Rattus norvegicus: one gene and its partners. The protein of the gene in region 2 interacts with the protein of the main gene of each other region in a pairwise test. Links are inferred from orthologs where the notes say so. Each region holds a gene or a part of one and is shown on either strand. Other genes may lie near its edges.

Region 1 (4,277 bases), about 39 Mb from region 2:
CTTTTGGTCTTTATGGCTAGAGTATGGGCTTTTCTTCATGAACATGTTGTGGTTCCTACCAATCCCAATTAGCATGTAGCACTAAGGTCTTTGTCCAGGCAGGGCGACTATTTTCTTAGATACTTTGTACAGAAACATGCCTGAGAACTATTTTTTTCCAATTTTCAAAATTAAATGTTATTTTAAAAAGCACAATTGGAGAGATGGGCATGGTAGCACATGCCATAAATCCCTTGTCACCTGGGAGACGGGGAAAGAGCTGAGGACGTCCCCCAGTGATTGCTGAAAATGCTGGCAATGAAAATGGCTGTCCCAATCTTAACTGCAGAGAGGGCATCTCTCAGTTAGCGTCTCTAGAGTCCAAGGAATGCTGGCAAACTAGCAGGGACACAGCTGAGGGTTGCAACACCATTTCATTACCTTATTCTTGGGCAGACAACCCTGTGGTATAAGGACAATTTCTCCTTTGACAACACTGGGCAGAACCTCCCAACCCCTCCCCAGTAAACGGAATACTTGAAAAGTAAAGTGGACTTAAAGCACATCTCTGCAAAGTGGTCTCCTTCCTTCTAAGCAACACAGACATGTTATTAAAAAGAGCGCATTCCTCACAAAGCTTACCTTCCTGTTTTGTATGTGTTAGGGGGAAAGAGCAATACATAAGTACAAGGCCAGCATAATTGACATGTGGCACGTTACCATGGTGATACATACTACTGAGAAAAACAAAACAGGGAGCAAAGGGTTGTCTGAAGCAGGGGGTCATCACAGCCTCCATCTGGGCTTAACTCAGATCTGAACACAGTCAGTGAGGTAAGAGAGGGTCGCTCTGTCTAGGCACTGGGGAAGAGAATTTCAGGAGAGAAACACCCAAATGTAAAGGCTTAGGTGTTGACTGAGGAACAGCAAGAAACACAGAAGCAGAGAGTCAGGGCTAATCAGCAGAAGGGGACTAGAGGAACATGTCAAGTAGGCTTTGCTAGAATGTTCTAAGGATGGTCTGAGAATCACAAGAAGCCATCAGAGTAGAGGAGTTCCATGACAGCATGTCAAAAGCAACCCAAAAGATAATTCTGCTAACAGGTGTCTCAAAGTTTACGTGCAGCTACTGAAAGGGAAAAGGTTTGACCCCTGGTGGAATAAGGGTTTGGGGGAAAGGACGGTTTTAGTTCGCTACCGCTCAGAAAACTCTACTCCTTCTGCTCCAGCCTTAGGTCCCCCTCCTCCTAAGGATGCCTTAGGACCACAGGAGTTCTGGGAACCCGGACCTGATTCTCTTCCAGCTGGAGCCAGGTCTAGCTCAGTGCAGACTCATCAGTATTCTGTCCACGGACCACCCCCCGCTGTGCATCAGGGCTTCTGTCTCCCTGTCGGAGACAATCCCCTGAGGTCTATCCGCCCCCACCGCCCCCACCTGCCCTAGTCTCCTAGGCCCTCAGCCTACCCCATACCAGCGCATGCCCGGAGGCCTCTGCCACCCGCGCGCTTCCGCCAAGCCAAATAGGCTTTGCCCTACGGCGGCGGTGACCATAGATAGGCTGAAGACTGAAGAGGGGGCGGCCTGACCCAGCTCACAGGCAGAATGCCTGGGGAGGGAGACCCATGCTAAGGCATTCCTGCAACAGCTCTCTGGAGACATTCAACTTCCCTGCGTCGCCTCAAATGTCCCCAGAGCCTCCTGCAATGCACCACAACGCAAGGCAGACGCCGAAGGCACTTGCACGGCGCCCCCACTGGGATGCGCTGTCACCCTAAGAGGGAACCAGTGCTGCAAATCAGGAGGACCCAGGACGCGGGGAGTCAGGGGTGGGTTGCATAGGACTCACCTTGTGCAATTTCCACATAGCCCCCAAAGCCTTGACTTCGTGGCTGGAGTGTTTGCCCTCCTCCAAGCACTGGTAGCACACCGGCATCTTGCATTGCACACAGTACATGCTGTGGTTCTCCAGCTCGTGGTCTGTGCAGGTGGAGACCTTGCGCGGGCTCAGCCGTCGGCTTACGCGACCCTGGGCCGGGGGCACCAGACGGTGTTTGGCTAGGGGACCCCTCGGTGGGTGGCAGCGTAGACGGCAAGGGTCGCAGTAGAAGACATCGCACTGTTCGCACATGACCGTGGCTTCCTTGGGCGCCTTCTCACAGAGCTGGCACTTGAGGGCCGCGGCTTTGCTCTGTTGGTAGCGGTCGATGACCCCTTCCAGGACGCGGTTCTTGGGGAAGCCGCGGAGCCCCCGGTCATCCAGAATGAGGCTGCGGTGGCACTGGGGGCAGGTAATGCAGGAGTTGCGGGGCACAGGGGCCAAAGCCGGTGACAGGTGGGTGGGCGGTGGCGGCATAGCAGGGGGGAAAACACGGACGCCGTTGGGCGACTTCTGGCACGGGGTAGTGGGGGCGCTGGCGAAACCTCCGTAGGAGCCATAGCCGCTGTCCGCCTCGCTGTAAAGGCTCATCTTGTCCAGGTCCAGATAGTCATAGTCAGAAACCCCAGAGCCCGAGGCCCGGCGGCTCTGGGGGGACTCGGACTCCGGGGTCTGCACCAGGATGTTGCGGGCGCAAGCCTGGCATAAATTGTGAGAGCAGGGCAGGATGATGGGCTCCCGATAGAAGGAGCCACACACGGGGCATTTTAACTCTTCTTCCATCTCTTCCATGGGGACCTGGCTGGAAGCGAGGCAGCAGAGGCTGCGGCAAAGGGGGCCTGACCTGGCGAAGCAGTCGATAGGCCTGTGGTGTCCAGCACCTTGGCCAGCGGCGGCGGTGGTGGCGCCTTTCCGCGTCGCCTAGGCGCCGACTCCCCAGGACGCGCTCTCTCTGTGAGCGGTGGAGCGTCCGCGCTGCGCGCCAGCCCGGGCCCGCCCCCTTCCCGCTGCTAGCCCCACCCCGCCAGGGAGCCGAGGCTCATCGGACGGCGGCCGTGAGAGCTGCGTTCTCATTGGCTTCCCGCCCTGTCCGTCTCCCCTTCTCTGCAGGCCGCAGGGGGCTCAGTGAGTCGGAGCTGGAGCAGCCGCTTGGCTTGCTGAAGCTGGCGCGGGATTTTGGGAGGGGGCTGGAGCAAGGGCCGAGAAGGAGAAGTGGGGCGGGATGATTCATCCCTTTCCACCCCCACCCCCCACACGCTTCCTTCTGAGCTCGAGTGCAGTCACCCGGGAGCAGGGGGCGTGAGAACCCCTCCCAATCGTGAGTGGGCTGCTGTTGCCTGTCGCCGGCGCTTGGGGCTTGCCTTCCAGCTCTAGTCTGCGCGCCGACCCACCCCTTCTCCTTCCGCTGCTGGCATCAAGCTGGCACCTCCCCCGTGCCTTCCTGGGGGCTTTTGGGCTTTTCTCCAGCACTCAGAAGCAGCTGGAGCGCCCGCATCCATCGTGTTTGGGGGAGATGGTTGTGTGTCATGGCTGCAGTGCCCCCTTCTTGCGCTCCCCCCCCTCCCCGGTAGCTTTTTCCCTACTCCGAGGCAAAGGCTCAGTATTCCTCCAAAAGCTGTACCACCATCGCTACATGTTTTAAATGTGTGGAGGCCCCTACGCCTTGGAGTGAAGGTACCTAGGTTCTTCTCACCCTCCCAGCCTCTCGAAGCTCATCCCTCAGCATCTGGCTGGGTTTTAGAGAGGCCCCAGGAACATTAGTTGAGTTGAAGCAGGCAGAGTTTGTGTGTTTCTGAGTGCTATTGTTTGGAAACTAGCTATGTGAACGAATTGCTATGGCATTGCAGATTCCAATGTTTGATTCCAAACGATATTATCCAATGTCACATGCCCTTAGCATCTACCATAAATTCCAGAATAGGGGGCGGGGTGTTATTTTTGCTTCTGTGAGGTAATGAAGGAATCTAATGATAGCCCTTGTATTCTAACCGATTTCTCTTTTCCCCAAATCGTGCTAGAGATAATGGATCCTGCCCCTTGCCTGCATAACCCTTAAATGAGGACGACGATAGAATCTTTGAATCAATATATCAGCCTGTTACTCAATGGGTAGAATCTTTGAATCCAGTGACATTCCAAGGAAGTAATTTATCTTGGGGGCACACATAGTTAATTTTCTGAGTGATTCATAAAACAAGTGACAAAAATGGTTTTCAAGTCCCGTGGGATCTTCCAAATTTTCAACTTCCAGTAGATAACGATTATTCATAGCTTCATTTATAATTTAAAAGCACTTTTTTTTGTCCAGGGAAAAGAAGTACTTTCTATAATCTTTGATTTTTGGAGAAATAGTACAAATAAATTGGATTATCTCGCAAATATATTTTTTAGCACAATGACTACAGTAGTTGATCATTGGTT
Region 2 (4,166 bases):
CTGCAGAAGCAGAGGCCCCACATTTAATGCCAAACATGCTCAAACCTCCCTGAGTTCCCCATCCATTAGGTGGGAATCCTAAAGCTCACCTTACAGGCTGCTGGGGCTCAATTGAAGCCCCAAGGTCAGTAGGAAACAGACTGAAAGGGACTTGCTCACATTTCTCCCTATTCCCACCTGTCCTTCCCCTTTCCCGAACTCAGACTTCTGAAGCCAACCTCTATTTGCAAATCAGAATGAAGGCTTTATTCCTCGGAAGTAGAAGAACTTGTGTTTTCCACCCTTCTGATACAAAACGTTACAAAAGGTTAACATTTTTTGAAACATGTGACCTCAAAAAGATTTCTTTCTGGAGGCCACCAGTCCTTGGCTTTGAGAAGTGATTCCTCATTAGTGTCAGTGATTCTAGTGGGGGCGCGGCGGAAAGACGGTGTCTTTACAACAAACCCAATTGATTATGCCCTCCAAGTCACAGAATGGCAATTTGTTAGATCCCAGGAGCAAACACCTGGCGATTGGTGGCCACAAGCAGGAAGAACACAATGCCTTGCTGGAATCAAGGTATGCAGCAACCAGGACTCTCCTGAGGACACCTGGGATGCCTTCAGTTGACCTGAGGCCCCACTATTTTCACAACTCTTAGCACGTGACAAGGCTCTTCTGTAACCAAGAGACCAATATAGATCCCAGGAAGAAGGGAACCAATACGGTTAGGAAGACTATGACCTCAGGCAATGCTAACAGTACTGCAGATCCAGGAATCCGTTCAAGATTGCATCTTTCAGCCCTTAATGCTCTGTTCTGAATGCACTGGAAAGCTGGTACAAGTAGGGCTCCATGTGCCTCAACACTCTCCCCCCATTCAGCCTTGACTCACAAATCACACCCTTTGCCCTAAGCCTCTCCACCTGCCCTTCCCTCGACAGCTCCTCCACCACCAGGGATTCTGTGGGGTCTCCGCCCACTCTGCCCGCCTAGCTCCAGGTCTACGCCCCAATCCCCAGCCCTAAACCCACGACCCTCCAGGCTTTTCGGTGGAGCTCGGCTTTGTTTCTCCCTACTAACTCCTTCTTCCAGGCCTTTCCTAGACCTAAGATCCCGAAGCTTTCCCGCAAAGGTCGCCCGGAATCTTTCCCTTGCAAACAAAAATCCTGGAATTCACTAAGTTAACCTGTTCCTCCAAACTACAGTTTCTCCCAAATTCTCCTTTGGGACCTTAGGCCACGCCCCCTGTCTTGCCCCCAGACTCCATGGCCCATCCACCCTTTCCACAAAGGTTCGCCCCACCCCTCTGGACCTGGGCCACACCCCTGTCCCGCCCCCTCACGCTCCGCCCTCTTAGAGGCGCGGACCGCCGAGCCCCGCGCCTTTTGTGTGGAGCTTCTCTGCGGCGCGCACCCATTCCCTCCGCGGCCGCGGACCGAGGGCCGTCGGCGCGCGCAGTCCCCTCTGCGGGCGGAGGGTCCCTCCGCCCCGCGTGCACCCCGCACCCCATCCTCCCGCCGCCGCCCCGAGTTTCAAGGCGGACGCGCGCTCTCGCTCCCGCCCTCGAGACCCCGCCGCTCGCCCCCTCCCCCGGCCCGTCGGCTGGCGGGCGGCACGCGCACGCGCCGGCCCGGGCACGCGCGCCCGCCAAGATGGCAGGGGCCGGGGCCCAGCTGTCAGTCGCCGCCGCCGCCGCGGCCGCGCTGCCTCGCAGCTAGCGGCCCGGACGCCCGCCGGAGAAGATGAGCCCCCGCCGCCGCCTGCAGCCCAGCCAGACGCGGAGCCGCCGCGCCCGGGGCCGGCTGCCCCGCTAGCGCCCCGTCGCGCCGCGCCTTCATCCCCGGCCCCGTGCCCGCCCGGCAGCCACGATGAGGTGAGTAGGGGCCTCGAGCGCGGCGAGGCCTGGAGCGCCGGGCGTGGAGGGCGGGGTGTCCGAGCATCGAGGGGGCACCGGAACCCTCAGCCGGCGGCCCAAGCACCAGAAGACAGTCAGGCCCCGGGGTCCGCGGGAGGCCGCGCCCGCCTTGTGCTGTCTGCCGGCTGTGAGCGCCTCAGCGGCGGTCCTGTTCACTTCGGCTTCTGTAGCTCATCTCCATCAGGGCGCTCTCATCATCACCTTTCTTTCTGACCTGTCCCCTTTCTCTTGCAAACCCGCACATTGTGTAACCCCCAAAAGGTACGGCTTTTGATGTGCCCCTCAGCCGGAACCTTGTCAACACCCAGAAACTCCCGTGCTCTCTTCATCGCTGCTGCACCCAGGTTTCCTTTCCAGACTAACCTTAGCCTGCTTTCTGGGGTGGGGTGGGGGGCGGGGCGGGGCGCATGGCAGCGTATGCCGGTTTTTTTTTTTTCTCTTTCTGTGCAATGTTATCTTCTAGATACATCTTTCTTAAAAACACTGTAGTGTCCAATTGTAGATTCGTTTCACCTGTTTTGTGAACTGTATAAATTCAATAATGCATTATGTAATTTTTGTGTCTGCCTTCTTTCATCCAAGGTATTTCTGAAGTTCATCCATCAGGTTTCTATTATCTACTGTCCTGCGTAGTGTAGACAGTCCACACTTTATCCATTCTGCTAATGTTAGTAGACTTTTGGGTTGTTTTGGGCTATTAACCGTTCGGCGAATATGCCAAAAGCATTCATTTCTAATGAATATATATTCTACCTACCCACAAGCAGGTTGTTGTTGGTTTTGTTGGTTTTTTTTTTTAAACATAAAATCATGTACATCTTTTGTTGTAGTGGATAGAACTAAAATTCCCAAAGTCATGTTACCAGTTTATACCAGCAAACATTTAATAACCCTTGTTTAAAATCCCTGACACCCCTTGGTATTGTCTGATGAAATTTTAGCCATTCTGGTGAGTGTGAAGTGACATTCCATCAGGGTTTTAATTTGCAGTTTCTGGTTGACTGAAGAGGCTGATTGTCCATCTGTGTATGTTTGGCATTTTTTAAAAATTAAGTGTCTGTTTAAATATTGTCCAGTTTTAGCGTGAGGGGTTGTCTTCTTCCTAATTGGTAGAGTTACTATTCGTAAGTGAAGAAGATAGCTTGCTAACATTTTGCAGAAATTTTAATATTTTGCTTTTTATATAAAATAATATGGTCCACCTGGAACTGGTTTTTGTGTAATGTGTAAAAGGAACTGTTTTCACATTTACCTATCATGATTTATTCCTCATCGTTTACCAAGCTCACTGTTTCCCTCAGCTGCAATGCCACCTTTGTCATCTTTCAGACTTCCTTTTGGGGTCATATCTGTCTGAAGAACGTCTTTTAGTGTCTGTCTTTCTGCCTATCGCAATGTTGGGTGTATCAGACCAAGGCAAGGGTCTTGCACGCATCCAATGATTGCTATCCGAAGCTTTTGCTTGTCTGCTTTTTGTATCTTTTATGTATATGAGTGCATGTGTGCATATACATTCCGTAGGGGCGGGGGCACACCCAGGCCTGGGGTTAGCATTAGGAGTTATTCTCCAATTTCTTCATTGAGGCAGGGTCTCTCAGTTGAACCCACAGCTGGCCACTAACCATCTGTGGTCCTGTCTCCTTCTAACAGAATTGTAGGGAGGCTGCCACACCCACCTACTTTGATATGGGTTATATGGATAGACCTTCAAGCTTGCATGGGAAGCAGTTTATCCTTGAAACCATCTCCTGTGTCTTTGTTTTTGTTGTTTTTGAGCAGGGTCTCAGGCTGACTTGGAACTTAACCATCTCCTATCTGCTGGGATTCTGAGTGTACACTGCCGGCCTGGTCCCTTTAGTATTTTTTAGTGTAGGTTCTGCTGGAGCAGATTGTTAGACTTTGTTTGAAAATGTTTATCCTTCACCTTCCTCTGGTTTATAAGCAATTTTATTGAGATATAACTCATAGCACAAAGCATCCAGGGAAGCATGCAGTTCATGGTTTTTAGACTGTCCACAGAGCTCTGCAACCATTACCATTAGAACCTTTTCCTCCACTTTAAACACTCCTTTCATTGGTTAGTTTCGGAACTCAGCACTCCCCTGGCTCCAGCTTTTCACGCTGTCTTGTAGTCTGACTTGACTGTTTCTGGTGAGGAGTCACTTGCTATGTTATGTAACGTGCTTCAGATGTCAGGAGAGTGGGGCTTGCTTTGTCTGCTTCTAGGTTTTTGGCTTTTTTTTTTTTTTTTTTTTTTTTTTTGAGA
Region 3 (4,007 bases), on a different chromosome or scaffold from region 2:
TCCTTTCATGACCACGCCCCTTTTCCCTGGCCCCACAGCTTCCCTCTAGCCTATTGTACCGCTTGCCTGTCTTTCTCCATTACAAAGCCTGTTCCTCCCATGCCAACTAGCTCACAGCTCCCCCCTCCGCTAAGCCCCCCCAAAGGTTCTTCCCCCAACTCCCCCCCCAAAATGGTTCCATTATCGGATTCCACAATTTCACGGTACAAGGGTCTCGATCTTCATTCACTCCATAAAGACACACCCTCAGTTCCAACACTCAACAGTTAGTACCCAGTGGCTGTGTCCGTCCTAATGCTGTGTAACCTTTGCTTCTTGGCCTCCGTGCCCTCCCCGGAGTGTGGAACTCCCCTCTCTTCAATCCCCAATGCTCGCCTACAGTCTGCTTCTTCCCTTTGCCTCTCCCAGGACCACCTGACACCACTATGACATTTAGCAGAGCTGAGCTCCTGCTCTGACAGACATTTGTCCAATAGCGAGGGACATTCTTGAGGAAATGTTAAGGAACCAGTGTGGTTAAGTGAGGTTCCTCTTCTGCCAGGAGGGATGGCAGACGGGGAGGGGGAGGGGCTCTGCAAAGCCATCCCAGATGCAGGATCAAATCCCACTCACATCTGGGAGCTCCCTGAACTCAAGTTTAGGACAGAACCATCGCCCTTCCAACTTTCGGTTAATGCATGAGCCCTGCTCAGCGCTCTGTCCGCCAGTGCTGCCCATACATCCATGTGGAATGGTGTTATCTCACATCAAAGGCCTTCCTGTTGCTGGTCTGAGTGCTCATACTAGTTATTTGGTCCATATCATCTTCTCCTACCTTCATTAGGCACAAAGTACTGGTCACAGGACTTCCTACTCGGCCCTTCACAAGCTTGCCCACAGTTGTTCAGGAATTCTAGCTGTGTCTTCCTGGTGTCTAACCCTGATTCTTCTTGCTGCTGCGAGGGCTGTTTACCATTGTAGTTGTGCTGCCAGCCTGGCCCCGCCCCCAGTATGACTTATCTCCATATCCTATCCACCCTCCTCTTCCCAATCCCGTGGTGACTCATCCCAAGGAAGCCCCCACCCTCTGCTCTTTCCTCCCCTCTTCCATGAGTGGAAAATCCACTCCCGTGGCAGGCCAGCCCCTTCCTCCTGTCTCTACTACCCCATCCCCCCATCAACTAGCTTCCTCTCCAGGACCAGGGAGCAATCACAGATGCCCCGACCTTGGCTTCCTTTGCCTGGTGAGATTGGGAGGCTGAGGCCCCAACAGGCCCCTGGCTTCCCCCTTCTCCTGAGCAGGGGACAGAGAGGCCCAGGCCCAGGGCCCAGGGCCTGACTTCCTCTTGTCCCGGAATGAGCATGCCTACCCCTTTGCAGGCAGGTTTGGGTCTCTCACTCAGAGGAAACCAAAAGCAGAGGGAGGGAAGGCAGAGCGGCCAATCAGGGGCAGGGTGAGGCTCAAAACCCAGCAGGCTCCCCAGGGAACCCCACCGAGGCCGAGCCATGGCGGAGCTGCAGCAGCTGCAGCAGTTGCAGGAGTTCGATATCCCCACGGGCCGGGAGGCTCTGCGGGGCAACCACAGCGCCCTGCTACGGGTGGCCAACTACTGTGAGGATAACTACTTGCAGGTAAGTGGAGAGGGCTCGTGCCAGGATATACCTCGAGGGGACCGCAGCACAGTCCCTCTGGCAGGGTCATCTGACAGGTATCTGTTCCCACCTTGGCTGAGCAATCTTTAGGCATCAGCGCCATCTCAGTGCTTCCAAAGCGCCACAACCCTTGTTCCCGGGACACAGCCTCAGAGGTAGAGGATACGTGAATATCACTGTATCTGTAATCGATTCTCCCACCTTACCACAGATCATCCTTCTCACAGGTGCTGGTACTGTCTTCAAGTTGGTCTATGGCAGTCAAAAACTTCCCACACACGGGAAGGGGGTTTGTTCCTTGACGTTTTGAAAGAGAACAGAGGAGAGTCAGAGCAGATCCTGATGAGAGAACCGGTGTACTGCAGAGGCAGGGGGCTTACAGTCTGGCTGCTGGGAAATGAGGCACTGTAGAGCAGCTTCAGATGGTTTTTGAGATGTGGTATCATTGTATGGCCTAGGCTGGCCTTGAGTTCACTGTAGCCCAGGCTGACCTTGAGTTCTCTGTAGCCCAGGCTGGCCTCAGATCTACCGTCCTCTTGTGTCAGCCTTCCCTTAGTGCTGGGATTACAGGCTTCTACCACCTCTCCTGGCCATTGTTTGGGACAGATGTTTTGTTACAGTTTCTTTCTTTCTTTTTCTTTTTTTTTTTTTTTTTTTGGTTCTTTTTTTTCGGAGCTGGGGACCGAACCCAGGGCCTTGCGCGTCCTAATTAAGCGCTCTACCACTGAGCTAAATCCCCAGCCCCTTGTTACAGTTTCTTAAGGTATTGGGAGGGGAGCCCAGGGCTGTCTGGGAAGAGCTCTTCTGCTGAGCTAAGCCTCACTTCACCCTGGAGTAGTCAGTCTTGTTCACATAACATTGATTCCTGGGGAGAGAAGAGAGGCAGAGAGGACTTCATGACTATCCGCCTACTCCTTTGTCAATCCTCACAGCCACCATGTGAGACAAAGACTATAATTCTTGTTTTATGAATGTGAAAACGGTAGCGTAAAGCGTGTGTGTGTGTGTGTGTGTGTGTGTGTGTGTGTGTGTGTGTGTGTGTGTAGAGGTGGCTTCTCCGGAGTCACCCAGCTCTGCATCACAGAGCCAAGCATGGCTGCCCTGCCTTCTCACCTGAGCCCCTTTCTCTCCATCTGTCCACATGTCTGACACGGTGTATGGCTGGCTTGGGAAAGCTTATCTGCACTCCTTGTCCTCGGTTTCCTCTGCTCCATTAAGAGCGACAGGCTGGACTGGAGAGATGGCTCAGCGGTTAAAAGCACTGACTGTTCTTCCAGAGGACCTGAGTTCAATTCCCAGCAAGCACATGGTGGTTCATAGCCATCTGTAATGGGATCCAATGCTCTCTTCTGGTGTGTCTGAAGACAGCTACGGTGTACTCATATACATATATAAATCTTTAAAAACAATGGCCAACATTAAGAGTGACAGGCCAAGTCTGCAACCTCTTACACCTAGCCAGACGGTGAGATAACACCAGGGGCCTCCTCCTGTTATGAGGGGGCTGGGGAGAAAAAAGAACCAAAGGCCTATGGGAAATGGCAGAGCGAAGAGGCAATGATGGCCAAGTTCTCAACGTACCCTCCCACAGCCTTCCTCAGTCCTTCCAGGTGAGCGCTGTGCACACTTCCCAGTGAGAAAGCTGAGGTTTGGAAAGGGTTAGACTCCGTCTCCAGAGGCCTCCAAGGTAGTCACCGAGACAGGATTCCAACTTGGAATGCTGGCTGGCTGTGGTGGCCCATACTCCTGATGCCAGTTCTTGGGAGACTACGGCAGGAGGATCTTAGAACGTTCTACCTATGTTCTAGTCTACATAGAGAGTCCACGTTAGTCAGGATTGCATAGCAGGACACTCCCTCTAATAGATCAAAAACAGCAAATGGAAATCCCAAATAAAAGAACGACCAGGATTCTGACTCTTGGGCCCAGTTCTTAACCCTTCAAGCCACAGTGCTACCTTGAGTGTCATTCTGGTGTGTGTGAGTGTGTGTGTGTGTGTGTGTGTGAGAGAGAGAGAGAGAGACAGACAGACAGACAGACAGACAGAGAGACCGACATACACACAGAGACAAATAGAGACAGACAGACACAGAGAGACCGACATATACACAGAGACAAATAGAGACAGACAGACAGACACAGAGACAGACAGAGACACCGAGTGACAGTCTGTAGATAGATGATCTGCCATGTGGCTTATATACCTATCCTGCCTGCTAGCACGTAGGCAGGCTCCCCTGGCGGGGAAGGAGACAGCCTTTTGTGTTCCATGATGTCGTCCCATCCCTCACAGTGCTGCTAGTGGGTGCAATCCCATGTGTACAATTGGTGTGCACACGGGACCTGAAGCCACAAAGCTGAGTCACCAGGTCTGC
Region 4 (4,248 bases), on a different chromosome or scaffold from region 2:
GGCAAAGATCCCACAGCACAGACTGCCCCAGTGTCCGAATCCCACCAGAAATCTGAGATGTAATCAGGGAGCCAAGACTTGTGGGTATGTAGAACTACCGTCACCTAAATGTGCTGCCTTGGCCAAGTCACACTCGATCAGGCCTGTTTGCCCAAGGATTGATTTTTAATATTGAATGTTCTTTTAAAAATAATATGCCTCTTCCCACCCACATTCTGGCGAAATAAGAATCTTGAGGGTTTTAGGCATTTGCACTGTAAAAGCAGTTAAGTAAAAAGATGATTTCAAGAAAGCCTGAGTATAGTAAGGAACTCAAACAGCAAAGATTGACCTTGGGGCTAGTTTGCTGGTGCAGTACCTTTAGAAAAATACTATCATTTCCTACTCAAAACAAGTGTAAGCATCATGTGCAAGAGATGTGAGAGGTGCCACTCGCTGCACGGCTGTTGCAGCCAGATGGCTCTCCCGCCAGCTATGCGGGCCTCTGCATTCCTGGAGTCAGCATTTGCCATCAGATCAAGGCATTCCCCCTGTAAGGCCACGGCTGATGGGCTGCGGCAGACCCAGATACAGGGAGTGGAGTGCTCCAATAGGCAGTGGGACTGATAACAAAGGCAGACCCTCTATCCTCAATGCACATTCCTCAGACCGGACTGGGGGAGCTATATTCCTAAAAGCCATTTCTCAGTATCTGCAGAGGCCCCACCTTCGAGGTGAAAGCAGAGAAGGAAAATAATAGAAAATTACAATCTAGGGAACTAAAAGATATACTTAATACGGTCTCCCCGCTTAAACCTGTTCATTATGTTACTTGACATCAGATTTCTCCAAGGATTAGATTACTACGAAGCATCCAGCCAAGGCCAAACTGCACTACCAGAGGATAGCTTGCTGTAGCAGCTCCTGCCTGCCACAAGCCCAGTTACTTAGGAAGCTAAGGGTGGGGAATAAGCTTGAGCCCAGGAGTCTGAGACACATAGCAAGGCCTCCTCTCTTTTAAGAGGGGTAAAGGTCAAGGGGTGGTGGCCGCCAGACTTGTTGGTTGGAGTATGAGTCCAAGACCTGCTACACCCAACTGCACAGATCCAGAATAAGCTACATATCAAGACCTTGTCCCAAAGGGGGGGGGGGGGAGGTGGAACTGCATACCTAAAATATGTCTCTAGGCCTTGAGTTTACCAGAGAACTGTTTCACATTTGTCTGGTATAGGGCAAACCTTCTAATCTGTTCTTTCTATCTGGATCCCTGGGTAGCAGTCAACACACTTTGAGGGTCCCTTTGAGGAATTAATGGCCCAGTTACTAAAAAAGGCTTATTGTTAATTTCCTGCAGGAGATCTACTACAGCACTTTTTTTTTCCAACTTTGACTTCAATTTGACCTTTAAAGTCTAAGACATTTAAGTCTGAGTGGGAATCTTGGCTCAATGGCTTCTTGTAACTCACTGTTGCTCGTGCTATTCTTAAGCTCTTGTTTCCCGGCTACAAGACACCCCCACCCTGCCATCTTTGATACATTCTGTTTTACTTAAGTCCAATTGCTATGACAACGCAATTTCTTAACACATTATCAAAATACTTCGTATGCTTGGTCTCTCTTGTATTCCTTGACAGCCATGATAATTAGCTTTTTGAAAATGCCAAGGGGAAGGACAAACGACTTTAAATGTTTTGGGTCTCTATTTAGAAAAACCTGATCATCTGGGAGGCTGAGGCAGGAAAATTCTGAGTTTGAGATCGGCCTAAGCTATTCAGCAAATTCCAGGCCAGCCGGAGTTACACAGTAAGAGCCTGTAGAGAGAGAGAGACAGACAGACAGACAGACAGAGACAGAGAGATCAAAGTCAAAAAGACCCTGTAAAGTGTAGCAGCTCGAAACGATCTCACTCTAGGTTTCTGGGATATTTATTTAAAACACATCGAACCTTACTTATATAGAAGCCCTCTTGATATTGTGGTGTGTGTGTGTGTGTGTGTGTGTGTGTGTGTGTGTGTGTAATTCCAGTACCTGAGAGGATTTTAAAATCAAATTCTTCTTTTAGAAGCAGCAATTCATGTAATTTGCAGGGATAGCTTCAGACAAAAGATTGCTCTATCACTTCACACTGGCACAGCAGTAGAATTTGACAAAAACAAAAAAAGAAGCTCTCGTCTTAATGTCTTGCATAGAAAGAAAAGGGCTGTAAGCTATTAAGTTATCTATTGGCTCTGGATCTCCTCCTACCAAGCGTCGCCGCATCTATTAGACAGGAGCAGGTCAGCACTGTTGAGGAAAGACATTTATTACCAGGAAAGAAAAAGGAGGCCTTTCTGCGGCCGGAGGGCCAGGGACAGCCACACAGGATGAAATTAAGGTCAGAGAGCTCGTCACTGCAGTTGCGAGGTTCCAAGAGGTGCGGGCACCGCGGCTGCGGGCGAAGGGCGGTGCGGGGGCGCTCGTGGGTGGGTGCTGAGGAGGACCACCCCCGCCACCTGCCGCGTCGGGTGGGGCCGCGAGCGCGGGAAGGGCCCCTCGCGTACCTTCCGCAGACCTTGACACGCCAGGTCGCCGTCCGGCTCTGCCGCGCCCCGCAGCCCACGCGCCACAAAAGGCGGCGGCGGCCCACGGAGCCGCCTGCGAGGCTCGGCAGCTCATCTGTCTGCATCGCTCCGGTGCTCGGCCGCCCGCGGCTTTTCCCTTCCTGCCCACCGCCCTTTCTTACCGGTTCCTAGGGGTGAGGGGCGTGGGTCGCCGCGCTGAGGGCTGCTGAGGAAAAAGATGCGCCGCCGCGGCCCCTGCCTCACGCCGTTCGCTCCGCAGCGGATATTGACGGCGACGCGCGCGCACCGGGGCTTTTATAAGCGGCCGCGCGCGCCCCCGCGGCGGTCGAGCGCGAGCGTGAGGGAAGGGCCGGAGTTGGCGACGCGAGAGGCGGGACTAGATGCTCGACTGCAGTACGGAAAGGACCGAGCGCGTCCGGAAGGAGCCGAGGCTGCGGGGCGGGGTGGTGGGGGTTGGGGCAAACGACCGAAGGGCGGCGGAGGAAGGGGACATCGGGAGCGCGCGGCGCAAAGGAGCCGCCGCATCCGCCCGCCGCGGCGTGGGACCGGAGCAATTCTGCCCCGCCCAGTCCGCCCTGCAGAGAATCTGTGCCGCACCCCTCCGCCCTGGGAGCTCTTCGGAGACTGCGGCGAAGGGCGGGGCGGGGCCCGTCGCTGCAGTCAAGCTGGGGATGTTGCTGCCCTGGCCGGAAAGACGCCCTGTCCCTTTCGGGTGATCTCACTGGAATGTTGGCTCCCACTCTCCACTTTCTCAGGAGGAGGCTTGGCTCTGGGAGACCCAAGTCTGCCAATTATGGTGGGGGCTGGGGCCAAAAAAAATGAGATGATTTGGGGCTCCGTGTTTGAGGAGGTGGTAGGAAAAAAAAATCCTGATTAGGAAAAAAAAAAAAAAGACTGATTTGTGGCATAAGGCTTTTATTTCAGGATTTGGAGAATTCTCCAGCAATCTTTCTTCCTGTTGCCAGTAAAATAGGGTGTATTCGTCCCAGTTGATAAACGATATTACTTTCCCCACTATTAATTGAACTTTGCTGTTTAGCTGACACTGTGCATGCTGCCTCTTTGAGCTTTTAATCCCTACACTAATTTTACAAGGTAGAGATTCCCTTCCCCATTTTACAAATTAACATCCTAATACATAGAAGGTAGCTCTCTCCCCAGGTCAGGCAGGAAGCAATCAGAAGCTAAGATTTGAACACAAGCAGTTAAGCAGGTAGGTGCTAGACTTCTGAGAAGAAGAAAACAAAATTTCTGTAATTTCTGTCCAATGCACAGCCCGTTTTCAGAGCCTGGCTCTAAACTCTATCACCAGGCTCCTCCACTGCAAACGCCTTTTCCCTTCCTCCATTTCGGGTGACAGCTGTGTGGCAACCATTGGAGTAGCACCCAGCTCATTCCTGTGTAGTCAGGCCTACTGGGAGTTCTGCAGCTCTGCCAGGCATCAGCCTCCTGGTTACCAAGCCACCCTCCTATTTAAATAATTATAAAGAACTGGGCATTGCTCCAGAACTGGGATGAGGCCCAGTCCAAGCTTCCTGGTCTTCTGCAGTTTGGTTTCTGCTGAGCCTAGGATCTGCAAGGTGACTTCTAGGCTACACTGGCTGTAGACATGATAGTGAAAGAAGATTCCTAGTCTTTTTCCTCGGAGTGGAAAGATAAAAAAGGAGTGGCCACGCCCAGCAGCAGCTTCAGGGAAGAAAAAAGGCAG

Evidence for each region.
Region 1: the proteins of Evl (region 2) and Trim9 interact in binary tests that used the Homo sapiens proteins (3 or more experiments, as listed by UniProt). The two-hybrid records come from large-scale screens. The link is inferred for Rattus norvegicus from reciprocal best matches to the Homo sapiens genes EVL and TRIM9.
Region 3: the proteins of Evl (region 2) and Abi3 interact in binary tests that used the Homo sapiens proteins (3 or more experiments, as listed by UniProt). The link is inferred for Rattus norvegicus from reciprocal best matches to the Homo sapiens genes EVL and ABI3.
Region 4: the proteins of Evl (region 2) and Sptan1 interact in binary tests that used the Homo sapiens proteins (3 or more experiments, as listed by UniProt). The link is inferred for Rattus norvegicus from reciprocal best matches to the Homo sapiens genes EVL and SPTAN1.

The regions. Positions count from the first base shown.
Region 1 is NC_086024.1:94,589,746-94,594,022, forward strand, and holds the start of Trim9 (E3 ubiquitin-protein ligase TRIM9), read right to left. Parts: upstream 2,807-4,277; 5' UTR 2,649-2,806; coding exon 1,827-2,648; intron 1-1,826. UniProt on the Homo sapiens protein: E3 ubiquitin-protein ligase which ubiquitinates itself in cooperation with an E2 enzyme UBE2D2/UBC4 and serves as a targeting signal for proteasomal degradation.
Region 2 is NC_086024.1:133,237,182-133,241,347, forward strand, and holds the start of Evl (ena/VASP-like protein), read left to right. Parts: upstream 1-1,365; 5' UTR 1,366-1,853; coding exon 1,854-1,858; intron 1,859-4,166. UniProt on the Homo sapiens protein: Ena/VASP proteins are actin-associated proteins involved in a range of processes dependent on cytoskeleton remodeling and cell polarity such as axon guidance and lamellipodial and filopodial dynamics in migrating cells.
Region 3 is NC_086028.1:81,274,756-81,278,762, reverse strand, and holds the start of Abi3 (ABI gene family member 3), read left to right. Parts: upstream 1-1,201; 5' UTR 1,202-1,485; coding exon 1,486-1,611; intron 1,612-1,838; exon of another isoform or gene 1,839-4,007. UniProt on the Homo sapiens protein: May inhibit tumor metastasis. In vitro, reduces cell motility.
Region 4 is NC_086021.1:33,637,627-33,641,874, reverse strand, and holds the start of Sptan1 (spectrin alpha chain, non-erythrocytic 1), read right to left. Parts: upstream 2,807-4,248; 5' UTR 2,702-2,806; intron 1-2,701. UniProt on the Homo sapiens protein: Fodrin, which seems to be involved in secretion, interacts with calmodulin in a calcium-dependent manner and is thus candidate for the calcium-dependent movement of the cytoskeleton at the membrane.